Lonchura striata: one gene and its partner. The protein of the gene in region 1 interacts with the protein of each later gene in a biochemical or structural test. Links are inferred from orthologs where the notes say so. Each region holds a gene or a part of one and is shown on either strand. Other genes may lie near its edges.

What was found.
Region 2: the proteins of HIF1A (region 1) and KPNA6 form a complex in vitro, tested with the Homo sapiens proteins (2 studies listed by BioGRID). The link is inferred for Lonchura striata from reciprocal best matches to the Homo sapiens genes HIF1A and KPNA6.

What each region holds. Positions count from the first base shown.
Region 1 is NC_134608.1:6,158,041-6,165,753, reverse strand, and holds the start of HIF1A (hypoxia-inducible factor 1-alpha), read right to left. Parts: upstream 3,013-7,713; 5' UTR 2,859-3,012; coding exon 2,824-2,858; intron 1-2,823.
Region 2 is NC_134628.1:975,026-981,931, forward strand, and holds the start of KPNA6 (importin subunit alpha-7), read left to right. Parts: upstream 1-3,889; 5' UTR 3,890-3,952; coding exon 3,953-3,956; intron 3,957-6,906. Other genes in the region: BSDC1 (BSD domain-containing protein 1), read left to right, coding at 11-114, 340-372. UniProt on the Homo sapiens protein: Functions in nuclear protein import as an adapter protein for nuclear receptor KPNB1. Binds specifically and directly to substrates containing either a simple or bipartite NLS motif.

The sequences.
Region 1 (7,713 bases):
ATTCACTTTCGACTCTAGCAATGGTGGCTCAGTTCCCCCAGCGCTGAGAGAAATTAACAGACAAAAGCACTGGTACACACAATCCTAAAGACCTCATACACGTTTAAGAAAAAACAGGGGTAGCCATTGCACTTCAGAGCCATCAGCACAGGGTACAGGCTTCTCAAACAGATTCTGGAGCTGGACTTCGGTGGCAAAAATCCAGCAGAAAATCCCTGATCTTCCAAATCATCCCCTTTAGACACTAAAAAATAAGTTTCAAGGCCCAACTCTGAGGAACTGAAAAGCTGACGTTCTTCTGCAAGGCACCCATGTCAGAATATTAAATTTCATTGGCTTATACCATCTTAAGACCCAGAATGAATGCTCCAAAAATCACTTACCATATTTATTTAGTACCTATAGCATTTAAAATATGTATTTTATGTTCTAAAGACTTACAGCACACTAACAAAATGACTCCGCGTTACCTACGAGCTGCAAGCCACTACAAAAGTAAGGACTAATCCATAACCCTAAATGACTGTTTACTTAAAAAGACACTAGAATTCCTCTGCTAATAGTGAAGTGTCACAGCACAGACCCGAGGAAAAGCTTTTCACTACATCAGCCATCTGCACACTGGAGTTTGTTAAAAGAATATTGAGAAAAATCCCATACTTCTCACCAAAAGCCTTAAATTTGGTTCAAATGAGAGTGGATGAGCAAACAAAGCTCCCAACAACTCTGTTTCACCCACTCCATGCATAGAAACGCAGTCCTTGAGCACCTGGGGGAAAACCCAGGAGCACATCAAAGTGATACAACTACTGAAGAATGGCTAAAACCCAAATAATTCAGTATCTAATCATGGCGTGATACTTGATTTCTTAGGGAATCTTGACCCCTGTACATATACAAGAAGCTTGGAACCACATCAAAAAATTGACTCAACAGGCCAGTATAAAAATCCACACCTTCAGATACTGCTATGACCAAACTTCACTTTAAAGACTGAGACATAAACTTGGGCAAATTCCATATTTTCTGAATCTCACAGCATATAATTAAGTGAATAAGAAGCTTTACATTAACTATCAAGAGATAAACACTATCCACATACAAGCAGAGGGAGAGGCAAGGAATAAAAGAATCTTAACCCATGCCAAAATTGAGGTGTACTGTATATACAATTAGCCAAAGTTTTATCATCAAAGGTGATAAAGAAAAGGACGTAAAGGACTTCTCCCTTCAAGGTATTCTGAATATGGACACTATCAAACCTAAACCCTTCAAAAACAACCCAGGTTTTTGAGAAATGCAAGCATTTCTATTTTCATGAAGTTCTCTGCTGAGCTCATATCCTTCCTTTTTTTGCTTAGCCATCTTCGCTCAACTGTACATCCACAGCCCCCAGGATGAATGTACCACAGACACAGCTCTATGTTTTCCATTAAAACCCTGCAACAGGAGTAATCTGAATATTCCTTTATAAGAAACATTCCTGACTTTGAACTTTGTCTGCATGAAACAGAAAACAACAAATTCTCTTTCTTAAGCCCTGCCTTTAGGAAGGAAGGATGAGCTTTGCATACTCATTCTTGCATTCTGAAGAAAGCAGATTACATCCAGGATAAGGCAATTCAAAAAAAATAAAAAAAGAAAAAGAAAAAGTTTTCCAGTGGGGCAGAACGGTAAGTTAAAAATAACAAATGCTCAAAGGCAAAAGTAAGATAAAAAAGATAAACAAAAAAGCCCAATAAACCAAAATAAAAGTCTCAGAAAACAACTCTCAAACCCCTTTCCTAGACCTGCCACTAAATTAGGGCATCAGAGCAAAGAGCAGATTAATCATTTTGGTTGCAACATTTTCTCACAGGCTCCTCAGGAGCCATCCTCCCGGAGTAGAGAAACCAGAGGTGGAATGCCACCCCGGGTGCCCCCGTGCTGGGATTTCACCGGACCGAGAGGCGCTTCTCCCATCCCTCCCCGGCACCGGCTCCAAAGGCGCTCCGAGGCCGCCGGCGCCTCCTCCCAGCCCGGCACAAAGCTCACCATCCATTTTACAAGCGGCCAGGCTCCTTCCCGACACAACTTACACGCTGGAACACTTACTGCGCTTAATCTGCTCAGATGACCCTTGGATACAAGGGCAGGCAAAACGCATCTCGAATAATTAAAAGGCGAGAAAAGGTATCGATATCCATATAAACAAACCTTCTGCAGATGGCGAACGCGGCAATTAATCCCTCCACAAAGCCCCACCGCCGGGACCTGCTCACCCGAGCCCCCCGGCTCCTTAAACTTCACCGCCTAACAAAGGCTTTTAAGGGTTTTATTCCCCCCCACCCTTTCCTCTAATTTGCGCTTACAATCCTCGGTGAATTATTCATACTCCTCAACTCACATTGTCCATCCGCCCCCCCCTCCCCCCTTACACCTCCCCAGCGCGACTTTTGGGGATTTTTTAAAAGCCGAGTATCTCCAGAATGCGAGCCGGCCCTTTTGCGCACAAAGCCGGGGCACGGCGGGCTGGGAGCGCGCCGGGCACGGGGCACGATCGATCCCTGCCCGCCCGTCTCCGGGAGCGGAGCGGCCCCGGGTCGCTGCCGGGCAGCGCGGCCGAGCCCGGGCGCTTCCCCCCGGCCCCGAGCCCCGGCCCGCTCCCCCCGCCGACAAAATGGCGACGTGGACGAGAAGGAGAAGGAGGAATGGAAGAGCGGAGCGCTCCGCGGGCCGGGCGAGGGCGGCGGGGAAGAGGACGAGGAGGGGGCGGCGGTAACAAAGCAGGGGGCGGCGGGGCCCGGCAGCAGAGAGCGGCGGGGGGCGGCGCGGCATCGCTACCTCTTCTTGTCGGTGACGCCGCCGGGGCTGTCCATGGCGGCGGGACGGCTTCTCCTCCCGCCGGCTCCCTGGGACGCGAGGCTCCGATGGCGGTGGCGGGGAGATGGCGGCGCCGAGCCGGGTGTGGGGCCGCGCGGGCTCAGAGCATCGGGGCACGGGCTGCGGGGAGGTGCGGGCGCGGCGCGGGGCCCGCGCTGCGCCAGTGAGGAGCGGCGGCGCGGCCCGGCCCCTGCGCGGGGTCAGCTGAGCGCTCAGCTGGGCGGGGGCCGCGCCTCACGTGCGGCGCTGCGTGCGGGGCGGGCCCGGGCCCGGCCGGCCCCACCGCGGCCCCACCGCGGCCCGATCGCTCCTGGCCGGCCCCACCGCAGCCCCACCGCGGCCCCACAGCGGCCCGATCGCTCCTGGCCGGCCCCACCGCGGCCCCACCGCGGCCCGATCGCTCCCGGCCGGCCCCACAGCGGCCCCACAGCGCCCCTCGGCCCCACCGCGCCCGCCGGCGGGGCCCGTGCGGGTCCCGCCGCAAATCGCACCCCCGTGGGCACAGCGCGAGGAGATGGTCCCTTCTTTATCGCCTCCTTTCATCTTTGGTCAGTGCTAGACTCCGCTGCCTCTCCCAGAGGTGTAGTACAGTAAAAGCCCGGGATGTTTCTACAACATCGAGGTTGGAAGAGACCTTTAAGATCATCCAGTCCAATCATACACCTGGCACTGCTCCTGCAGCCCCTAAATCGCATCCCCAGCGCCTCTTAAACACCTCCAGGGATGGTGACTCCACCATACCCGAAGAGCCTATTCCCATGCCTGACCATCCTAACAGAGACATTTTTATTTTCTACCTAACCTGAATCTTCCCTATCGTGCATTAAGAGCATGTCCTCCTGTCCTCTCACTGCAGCCACGGCAGCAGAGACCTCCCTACACCTCCTCTCCGTGAGTTCTACACAGTGATGGAGCACCCCCTGCACCTCCTCTTCTCTGGACAAAGCAAACCCAGGTCCCGCAGCCACTCCTCACAGGACATTTTCTAGTCCATTTCCAGTTAAAGGGTTCAGAACTTCACATTAATTAAAGGGAACAGTCAGCTCAACAGCCGGGCAGCCCAGAAGGGGAACCGACAGGTAATTAAGCACATTTCGAGCAAGTTTTACAACTTCCCAAACCCAAAGCAAACCCAACAGCAGAGCCAGGAGGCTGTGCTGAGGCACTGTGACCCCTCTGCCTTCCCTGCCACCCACCCAGGCTGGCCTAGATCCAATGCCATTTTCCCAGTGCCTGTGCCCAATTTTCCTCTCCCTGTGCCCCCCATGGCAAGCCTGGCCTCAGGCACTGCTCACCTGAGAGCCACAGGATCTCCTGCTGACCTTAGCTGGCCCTGGAGGCACAGCAGGAGGGGCTGGACACCTGGCACTGACATGGCCACACAGGCAAGTGGCCTCTTGGATCAGGAGCCAGGATACAGCCATGGGAGAGCAAGGAGAGGAAAACTGGGGCAGAGCCCACACATTTAAAGTTAAGAGCCTTAGCTCTGTACCCTTAGCTCAGGGTCATGTGTGGGTAAGCACTCTGGGGAGGCAGGGAAGGCACAGTTCCAGGTGGAGTGACCCCACAGAGCTCAGGCGTTCCTTTACATCTTGTGGGTTCCTACTAGCAAGGACTTCAAGTGACCATCTGGAGCTGAACCTTATGAGACTACTCGGTTTGCAGCTCAGCAGTAATGATACCTTTAAAAAAAAAGCAGCTTTGACAGGCATGAGTGGCATTCTTTAGCTGCTGTGTGCACATAAGAAACACCTGCAGGGCAAAGTGATGGTGTTTCAGTACTGCACCTTCCTAACACTTCTGCTGTGGATTCCCAACTTCCAGGTTGGTTTAGGCATACAGTCATGGGTGTTCTGTATTGGGGGGGTTATTATTATTATTTTTTTATTTAGAAGAAGAAAAAGAAGTGACTGTGACATTTGTTAGCAATCACAAGGAGTTCCTGTATGAAAATGATTGCTTCTGCCCACAGCAGTCAGATATGTGGAAGAGGCACAGGTGCTTCTGACTACTTTTATTCCCTCAAGGTTTTTGCATCCAAACATGGACAAAGCCCAGCTCTGCTTTGCTTATGAGCTGTGACAACACAATAGCCCATGGCAGTGTGGCTGTGAACTACTGATATTTCTGTTGTTCTGTGCTTACTGAAGCCTTGAGAAGAAAAACAATCTAAGCAAGACTCAACCTCAAGTGTCTTGCATAAGTACCAAGAAGCCCTCCCCAAGGGCTCACAGACAACTTTATCTTTCAAAATGAAGTTTAGGCAGCTCAGACATAGTAAGAAATTCAGTTGTGCACTGCAGCTTGTGTAGGTTTTTTTAGTCTGTTCACAGAGTCACCATAACAGCCCCTAGAGGATTTTCTGGCTAAATGGGGAGGGATCTCCTGGTGGGTGCAGAAATGACAAGGCCAGCTCAATGCCACCTTCCCCACCAGAGCCCCTGGAAGGCATCCGGGGATTTTTGGTAGTGAAGGGGTGATAACAGAGGAACTTCCCGTGCCTTAGAGGAGGCTGGTGCAACTCAGAGCAGCCGTTGCAGCTTCTCTAATCGCTCAGATTGAGGTTGAAGTGGTTCCTGGTGAGCCTGGCACACTTGAAAGTGAAAGCCTCTTCTTTACTTTGACTGCAATCTCAGTGCCCTTCAAAGACCAAGAGGCACTTGATGCAGTCTGGACCAGGGACTGCTGAGTTATAAGCTACAGAACCCACCTTACCCTACCCAATAGGATTGTGTTTTCACTCTAGTGACTCTTTGAATGACAATTTTAGTGCCTATAAGCATGGATGTCTTAGGGTTCACTTGTGCACTTTTATTACTACTATCCAAATTCACATAATGTGCAATACATCAAAAGGGTTTATCATTGAGTATTCTTACCTAAGGTTCTGCTCACTTTAAATCACTTGGACATAACAGCTCGGGATGTGTTGGTGACCCCTGAGTAAAAATCACTGGAGAAAATTCCAGTCTACACTTTGCTAATGCTGCTCAAATGATTGTTCAAAGGTATCAGACTTCCCAGCATGAACTGTCTGGGGAGTTGTGAGTAAGTGTTGTGGTCTCCTTACGAGACACATTTCTTTCATGCCAAACATGCTTACCCCGAGCTCATAATAAAGAATAATGCTTCAAAACCCAGCTGTGTTTCTGAAGGGTGTTAGTGGAAACTTGTTCTGCAATTAAGCATTTCATACTGTAGCAGTTCTTGAGAGATGTTAAGCAAATGTTCTCCCTCACACACATCCTTCCCTTTATTAAACTTTTGTGTCACTCCTCTAATAGTCTGCATATACACTTTCTTTCCCACTTTCCCAGTGGCTGATAACAGAAACTTATTCCAGTATATGATGCCTTAGTCACTTTTCTTGACCTTTATTGCTGCTCTAAGTTCCCACTCACGCTTACGTTAGAGAACTTCCTGAGCACAATGGTGCTTGCAAATGACTAATTAGGGCAAATGCACAAGCTGATGAGTCAGCGAACGGCTCGGGAGGACAGCGGCAGCGACTGGGCAGCAGAACAAGTCCGGCTGAAGATGTGAGAAGTGCTCCTGCCCCTGGCTTCGGATCTGTTTGCTGAAGAGACACGTGTCACCGCGATGGGCTCTGGAGGCATTTACTCTCAGGATCCAAGTGCATCCCTATCAATAACGACTGGCAGAACTTCTGACTGCGGTGGGAAAAAAAATCAGGGATTTAATTAAGACATCTTACCTCCCAAACCCACTCACCATTTCTGAGCAGGGACTCACTGGGGCAGGCAGAGGGTGTTAAAGAGAAACTCTGTTTGTCTCTCTGGAGCTGGCAGCTCACATCACTGGGGATGTCACAAGCAACCTGCCCTCAGCACTGGCTTTCCTGGGCTTTTGCTTCATTGTAGAGCCCCCTATGCTGCCTTGAGAGGCTACCTAGAACAAAAGCTAGACAGTGTTAAAGGAAAGTACATATTTATTTTAAGTCTTCAAAGTATACACCTTGGGCAGCACAAAAGCCTGGCCAACACTACACCCAAGATGGATTATGGGTCACGAATTTTCACACTTTTATAAGTTTTGGTCCATTTCCATATTGGGAACGGCTTTCAATTACAGCTTCAGGTTATTAAGTCCTATCCTCCTGTTGTTTATACTTTTTGGGGCTGAAGCTGCAATGGTGTCCTTGGTTCTTGGGCTGGAAAATGATTGTTTTTTCTAATTAAACTGCGAAGAGAACTTGCTAACAATTTTTATGAAGTTCAGAGCTATCTACTAATGCCGTACAGAATCTGAAAAATATGAAAATTACAACTTAAGGCATCACCTACATGTAGGGAGTTAACACTCACTGGTTCAGTAATTGAGCTATAATGAAGGGTATATTCTAGCCTATCCATATTTGACCAAAAAACCTGTCTTGCTCACAGCACCACTGTGAAGTATTGAGTTGACAGAGGAATTCCACGAGGTCTCAAATGCTGTGCAGACCCAGGGCTCTGTAACACAGGCTAATAGTTGTTACTACAACTTACTGTGCTTAACAGTGCAAGAACCTGAGAGCTCTGGTGATCAACTCATTCTACAATAGAAAAATGAACTGAAATTTGAATCTAATTCAAAGCAAACCGTTGGCATTGGAAGCCTAATGCTGCTCTTTCTCAAATATGAAATATTTTCTGAAATGAGAGTACGTGTTGGGAGACACAATCTCCCTTTGGCAGCTGTTGTTTCCTTGTGTCTTTTCTAACCTCAGTGCTTCTTCTTTCCTTCTTGTGCCAAAATCTTGTTTATTTTTCCTTTTGCATCTGCACAATCCCCATTTTTTGAACTATGACCATCTCTTAAAGTCTGCTTGGGTCAGTGTACACTTAGGCA
Region 2 (6,906 bases), on another chromosome or scaffold:
GTGCTTCCAGGCTCCAGCACGGATATCAGCGAGGACTGGGAAAAGGATTTTGATCTGGACATGACAGAAGAGGAGGTGCAGCTGGCGCTCTCCAAGGTGGAAGTGGCTGGGGAGGTGAGTCAGGAGAGGCAAAACTGCCCCCCAAAAAGCATCACCAAGGCCTCGGGGTGCTGGGATGAGTGTGCAGGTTTCCCAAGGGGAACAGAGCAGGCAAATCCCTGTTGTGGGAGTGTGAGGATACATCAGGTGCCCTGGGAAGGAGGAGCTGTTGAGTTACAGAAACAAACAGCTGAGAACAGCTCAGAAACAGCTCAGAAACGGATTTCCTCTTGCTTGCAGCTGGAAGATGAAGAGTGGGAAGACTGGGAATAAAGCAGCTGCTTCCAGTGTGTGTCACAGGCTCATTTCCACCATCGAATGTGAATCCAATCTCGGACCGGCTGTTCCTTTGTGTGTGACTGTGCTGGGGGTTGCAGTTCCAGGCTGGAGGAGTTCCATCCCTGCAAAAACCTGGGGGCAACTCAAGTCACCCCTTCAGATGCAGGAGGAGGAAGCAGGAGGTCGCTGGCACACAGGAGCCTGACTTCTCCATAGGTCCTAGAGACTGGCCAAGCCAAAACTGACCCTGCCGTGTTAGGGAGAGGCAGAGTGAGGGGTCCCTGGGGCCAGCTGGGCACTCAGAGCCCTGCCAGGAGTGCTGGGTGCTGCCAGGCTGCCAGCTGGCTCCTTCCTTGCTTGTGTGTGCACGTGTAACCTACAGCTGAGAGGATCCTGGACGTGGCTGTGCCTGCTCTGCAATTCCCACCTGGAAAGCAGCACCCAGGGAGGGCCTGAGGGCTGGAGGTGCTGCAGAAAAAGGCACTTGGCTCGTGGCTTTGACCCTGGAAGGAGCCAAACCCCCCTGCCAAACCCTGAGCTTCTGCCTGGCTTTTTGTCTTGGAAGCTTTTTCTCGTGGAAACTCCCGTTTCCAGCAGTTCCTCAAAGAGCCAAGGCCTGCTGCTCCCCACCTTTTGCAGCTGCACCACCTTCCTGCGCTGGGTTTTGTGTCTTTCTAGTGAAATTCTCCAGGCAAAATCCTCGTGGCTTGCTCTTACTGCAGCCCTGCTGGGCTGGCAGTGGTTTGGGTCAGCTGGGAGCAGAACCCCTCGTGTTGGTGGCCAGTTCAGCCCAGCCTGACCCACTGAGCACTTCAACCTCTGCTTGGCCAGCCTGGGGAGAAAGAAGCTCCCAAATGTGGGTGATCCCTGCTGGCAGAGGCCGTGTGTCCCCATCTGACCCCTGTGCCACCCGTGCCAGGCCCTGCAGCCACCACGAGCTTTGCTGTGCTCACTTGGGTTCCTCCTCTGCTTGCTTCACCCCCCTCAGGCCTCTTTTTGGGGGCAGTTTCCTTGTCACAACACGAGATGTTGCTGCTGCACGGTTATCCCAAGGGGACGGTGCCCTCGCTGCTCTCCCTGGCCTTGGGGGTGCTGGGGTGACACTTTGTGCTGCCCTTTTCAGGCCTGGGGGTTCCTTGCTGGGTTTGGACAACACTAAACGAGGTGCACGTGGAAGAGTTGGGGTTTTAAATTTGGGTTTTCCTTCTTTGGGGTGGCTCCTGGTGGGAGCATCCCTCTCCTGCCAAAGCCTTGTGTCCAGCAGAGCCTCAGCTTGTCCTGGCTGGGATTGTGGTGGGCAGGGGACACGGGGGACACCAGTGGGGACCTGGGGCTGAGGCTGCAGCATCCGTGTCGCTTCCTTTTCTTCTTTAGCCGAATTAACCCTTGGGTTGGTTGTGCAATATTCTCCGTTCTCGAACTATTCCACATCTCCCTGAGCCTTTTCTAGCTGGGGTGAGAAACCAGGAGCAATTCTAACAGCTGGTAGTTTTGTAACGACGACTTTCTCCAAACCTTTTGCAGTTAACAGCAATTAAAGGAGTTCTCAGAGTCTCTGCCTGTCCCGGGTGTCCTCATTTCCTCTAGGGTGGGGATGACACAATTTTCCTTTTCTCACATCTCCTTCAGGACAGGGAGAAGAACCTGTGGGAGTGTGGCCCCTGTTGATGGAGTAAAAAAGTAACTCTCCTTAAAAAGGACAAAAGTTTCCTCAATTTGGTTAAAAGACACCTCATAGGACCTTGGGGACCACCTCAAAATTAAGGATAGATGTTATGGTTTGACATTGGCGCAATGTTGGTGTTCTGGAACTAAAGAGAGTGAGTTTTTCTGGGAATTTTGTTAATCACCCCTCTGTGTTCTCAGAGGCGTGTCTACCTTTAATTGGTCAATATTTAAATTGAACTCTTCTTTCCGGGAAAATTCTTTTCCCGTGTCAAACCACGACAAGTAGACAATTGGACAGAAGCCGAAAAGATCCTCGGGGATCTGCTGGGGAATGGCCACGGGAACGGGACACGAGGGACAGCACAGAGGGGACAGGGCAGGAGAGAGCACGGGTGACAGGACAGAAGTGATGGGACACGAGTGACAGGACACGAGTGACAGAACCCGAGCGGCAGGACAGAGGTGACAAAATGCGAGGACATGAATGACAGGACAGAGGTGACAAAGCACGGGTGGCAGGACACAAGTGGCAGACAGGACACGAATGACAGGACAGAGGTGACAGGACACGGGTGAAAGGACACGGGTGGCAGGACACGAGTGACAATACATGGGTGCCAGGACAGAGGTGACAAAACATGGATGACAGGACACGGGTGGCAGGACACGGCTTACAAAACACGAGTGACAGGACACGAGTGGCAGGACATGGGTGACAAGACAGAGGTGACAAAACACGAGTGACAGGACATGAGTGGCAGGACACGAGTGACAGGACAGTGGTGACAAAACATAGGTGACAGGACACGGGTTCCAGGACAGAGGTGACAGGACACGAGTGACAGGACACAGATTACAAAACACGGGTGATAAGACACAGGTGTCAGGACACAGGTTACAAAGCACGGGTGTCAGGACACGGGTGTCAGGACACGAGTGGCAGGACACGAGTGACAGGACACGGGTGACAGGACACGGGTGTCAGGACATGGGTTCCAGGACACGGGTGGCAGGACACGAGTGGCAGGACACGGGTGCCAGGACACGGGTGCCAGGACAGAGGTGACAGGACATGGGTTACAAAACACGGGTGATAGGATACGGGTGTCAGGACACGACTTACAAAGCACGAGTGGCAGGACACGGGTGCCAGGACACGGCTTACAAAGCACGGGTGCCAGGACATGAGTGGCGGGACACGGGTGGCAGGACACGGGTGGTGGGACACGGGTGTCAGGACACGAGTGACAGGACACGGGTTACAAAACACGGGTGATAGGACACGGGTGTCAGGACACGACTTACAAAGCACGAGTGTCAGGACACGGGTGGCGGGACACGGGTGGCGGGACACGGGTGTCGGGACACGGGTGCCAGGACACGGCTTACAAAGCACGGGTGTCAGGACACGGGTGCCAGGACACGGGTGCCAGGACACGGCTTACAAAGCACGGATGTCAGGACACGGGTGTCAGGACACGGGTGTCAGGACACGAGTGGCAGGACATGGGTGGCGGGACACGGGTTACAAAGCACGAGTGGCAGGACACGAGTGGCGGGACACGGGTGGCGGGACACGGGTGGCAGGACACGGGTGGCGGGACACGGGTTACAAAGCACGAGTGGCAGGACACGAGTGGCGGGACACGGGTGGCGGGACACGGGTGGCAGGACACGGGTGGCGGGACACGGGTTACAAAGCACGAGTGGCAGGACACGGGTGTCAGGACACGGGTGGCCGCCGGGCCGCGCCGCCGGTGCAGTTCCGCCGCCGCCCGCTGGGGGCGCCCGGCGGCCGCTCCGCGCGCACAGCTTTGGCCCCGCGCGGCCGCCGTCGGGCCCGCGCCCCTCCCGGTGCCGCCATATTTTGGCCGCCGCCGCCGCCACCGGAGCCGCCGCCGCCGCGATGGGTGAGGGCCCTGAGGGGCGGGCGCGGCCCGGGCAGCTCCGGGCACGGCGAGGGGATGGCGTGGGGCCGGAGAAGCCGCCCCGAGGCCGGGCGGTGCGCGCAGCCCGCCCGCCCCGCGCCGCCGCCGCCGCCGCCCTCGCCCCTCAGCGGCGTCCCGGGCGCTCCTGAGGGCGGCGGGGCCGGCGCGGCCGCTGAGTCACGGCGGGGTCGCTGCGGGGCCTGGGGGGGTCCTCGGGGGCTCCCGGGGAGGGCGGCCCGGGGGCTCTGAGCGCTGAGGGCAGCGCCGGCCGCGCCTCCGGGGAGCTCCGGGCTGGGCGGGAGCTGCGGGGCGTGAAGGGTGAGGCAGCCCGGGACTGGGGTGAAATACCGCGGGTTTGGGGGTGCCGGGGTGAAATACCGCGGGTTTGGGGTGTCAGGGTGAAATACCCCGGTTTTGGGGGTGTTTGGGTTGAAATACCCCGGGTTTGGGGGTGTCGGGGTGAAATTCCCTGGCTTTGGGCGTTTCGGGGTGAAACAACCCGGTTTTGAGGGTGTCAAAGCGAAATACCCTGGGTTTGGAGATCCTGGGGTGAAATATCCCATTTTTGGGGGTGCCAGGGCTGCAGTGCCCGGCTTTGGGGGTGTTTGGGTTGCAGTACCCCGGGTTTGGGTGTGCCAGGGCTGTAAGACCCCGAGTTTGGGGGTGTTAGGGTGAAATACCTTGGGTTTGGGGGTGTTAGGACTGCAATGCCAGGCTTTGGGTGAAATACCCTGGGTTTTGGGGGTGCTAGGGTGAAACACCCCGGTTTTGGGGGTGCCAGGACTGCAGTGCCCGGTTTTGGGTGAAATACCCTGGTTTTAGGGGTGCCAGGGTTGCAATACCCTGGTTTTAGGGGTGCCATGGCTGCAGTGTCCAGATTTGGGTGAAATACTCTGGTTTTGGGGGTGTCAGGGTGAGATACCCCGGTTTTGGGGATGCCACGACTGCAGTGCCCGGTTTTGGGTGAAATACTCTGAGTTTGGGGGTGCTGGGGTGAAGCACCCTGGTACTGGGGGTGCCAGGGCTGCAGATTCTGGCTTTGGGTGAAATACTCTGAGTTTGGGGGTGCCAGGGCTGCAGTGCCTGGGTCCAGCTGGCGGGAGCTGTTGGAGCCCAGTTTTGGGGTGTCAGTGCTGTCACTTTGGGGTGTCAGCTCTCTCTGCTCCATTTTCATCCTCCTGCAGCTGCTGGGGCTCAGTCCTGAGCTCCCCCAGAGCTCAGGGGTTCAGGTGAGAAATAAAAATAATATTTCTGAAATAAAAATCCAGCTCCAGCCCTCCGTGTCACTGGGCTGTCCCAAATAAATCCCAGCTCAGAGTTACCCCTTCCAAAAGTTTTTTAAAAATTCCTTTTATTTATTGAATTCCTTTAATTCCTGCAGATTTTTGGTTTGATGTGCCTGATGTGGGAGGTCCCAGCTCAGGGAGGAGGATTTTATTTTTTAATTTTTCTTTAATTTTTTTTTTTTTGAGGATTCCTATAAGAAGACAGAGTTTGAAAAGATGAGTTGGAAAAGCCCAGCCTTGTAGCAGCCGTGTTTTCATTAAAATTGAGTGAGGATCTTCTGGAAATAAAGATTAAAATGTTTCCATTTTCCACCTGCAATGTTGTCTTTTAACCAGGGCTGCTTCAGAAGCTTCATGGCTTTAAAGCGGCGAGTTTAAGTTGGATATTGAGAATAAATTTTTTCCTGTGAGGGGCTGGGATGGATTTCCCAGAGAAGCTGTGGCTGGAATTACCCCAAGCCAGGTTGGAAAGGGCTTGGAGCAGCCTGGGATGGTGGAAGTTTTCATCTCCTTCCAAACCAGGGATTCAGTGAACCTTCAAAAATACTCTGTGATCATTTAAAAATGATCATTTAAAATTTATTTCACTTATCATGATCTCACCAGGAGCTTTTCTGCCTCCTGAGGTGAAGTCAGTGACCAGTCTGTGTGTGGCTGCTGCACCTCCCAGCCCTGCACAGCTCGGAAATTTTAATTTATGGCTTCAGATATAAAACCTGGGCTGGCAGCTCTGAGGAGAAAAATGTCCTGGGGCCTGGTGGGAATGGCTGGAAATTCTTGGGGCTGTTTTATGTGGAGCTGAGAAGTTTGTGCACAGGAGCTTCCCCTTCTTCCCACCCCTGTTAGAGCCGAATATCCTCCCTGTTTGAATTATCCTCCTGTAACTTTATTATTTTTAAACCAGCTAAGGTTGAGTGGATTTTTTTTTTCATGGTTTTAAATCATGATGCTGTTGGAAATTGTCATTTGCATGGCAAAGGAGGAATGAACTGATGACATCTTTAAATGCCTTTTTTTAGTGCTGCTTAACCCGTGGAGCAGCATTAATGCTCAATTCTCAATAAAACCCCCGTTAATGCTCAATTCTCAATAAAACTCCCGTGGCTGATGAATTTTACAGTTAATTGGCTGGTTTGCTTTGTTTGCTTTAGCTCAGCAGAGCAAACATGAACTTTGTCAAGGGGGAGAGTTTGATTATTAAAATCCTGTGAGAGTGAAAGTCCTGATTCCTTCAGGCTGCTGAGGTCCAGGTAAATCTGCTTAGCAAATCACACAGCCCTGTTTGTTTGTGAGGCAAAGCACGTGTTGGAAGGGATGGATTTATTGGAATTTCATATCCCTCTCTAATTATCTCTGAATGTTTCTGGTTGGTTTTAATTGGAACTCTCCTAGGTCGAGTTTGAGTGGATTCAGTTCAAGTTTTTCCCTGGTTTTGGGATTGTTCTCAGCTAACTCTTGTGCTTGATCAGTCCATTTTTTAAAGGAAATCAGAATGGATAAACCAGCTTGAAGAGGACTTAAAGCCCTCAAATTTTGGGCTGAAAAGATCAAAATGAGGAGCAGGAAGCATTGAGAACTGCCCTGAGGAGTTGCTGCCTTCTTTTTCCAGCAGGGCAGGGACATTCCAAAAGGATTCCTAATCCTGT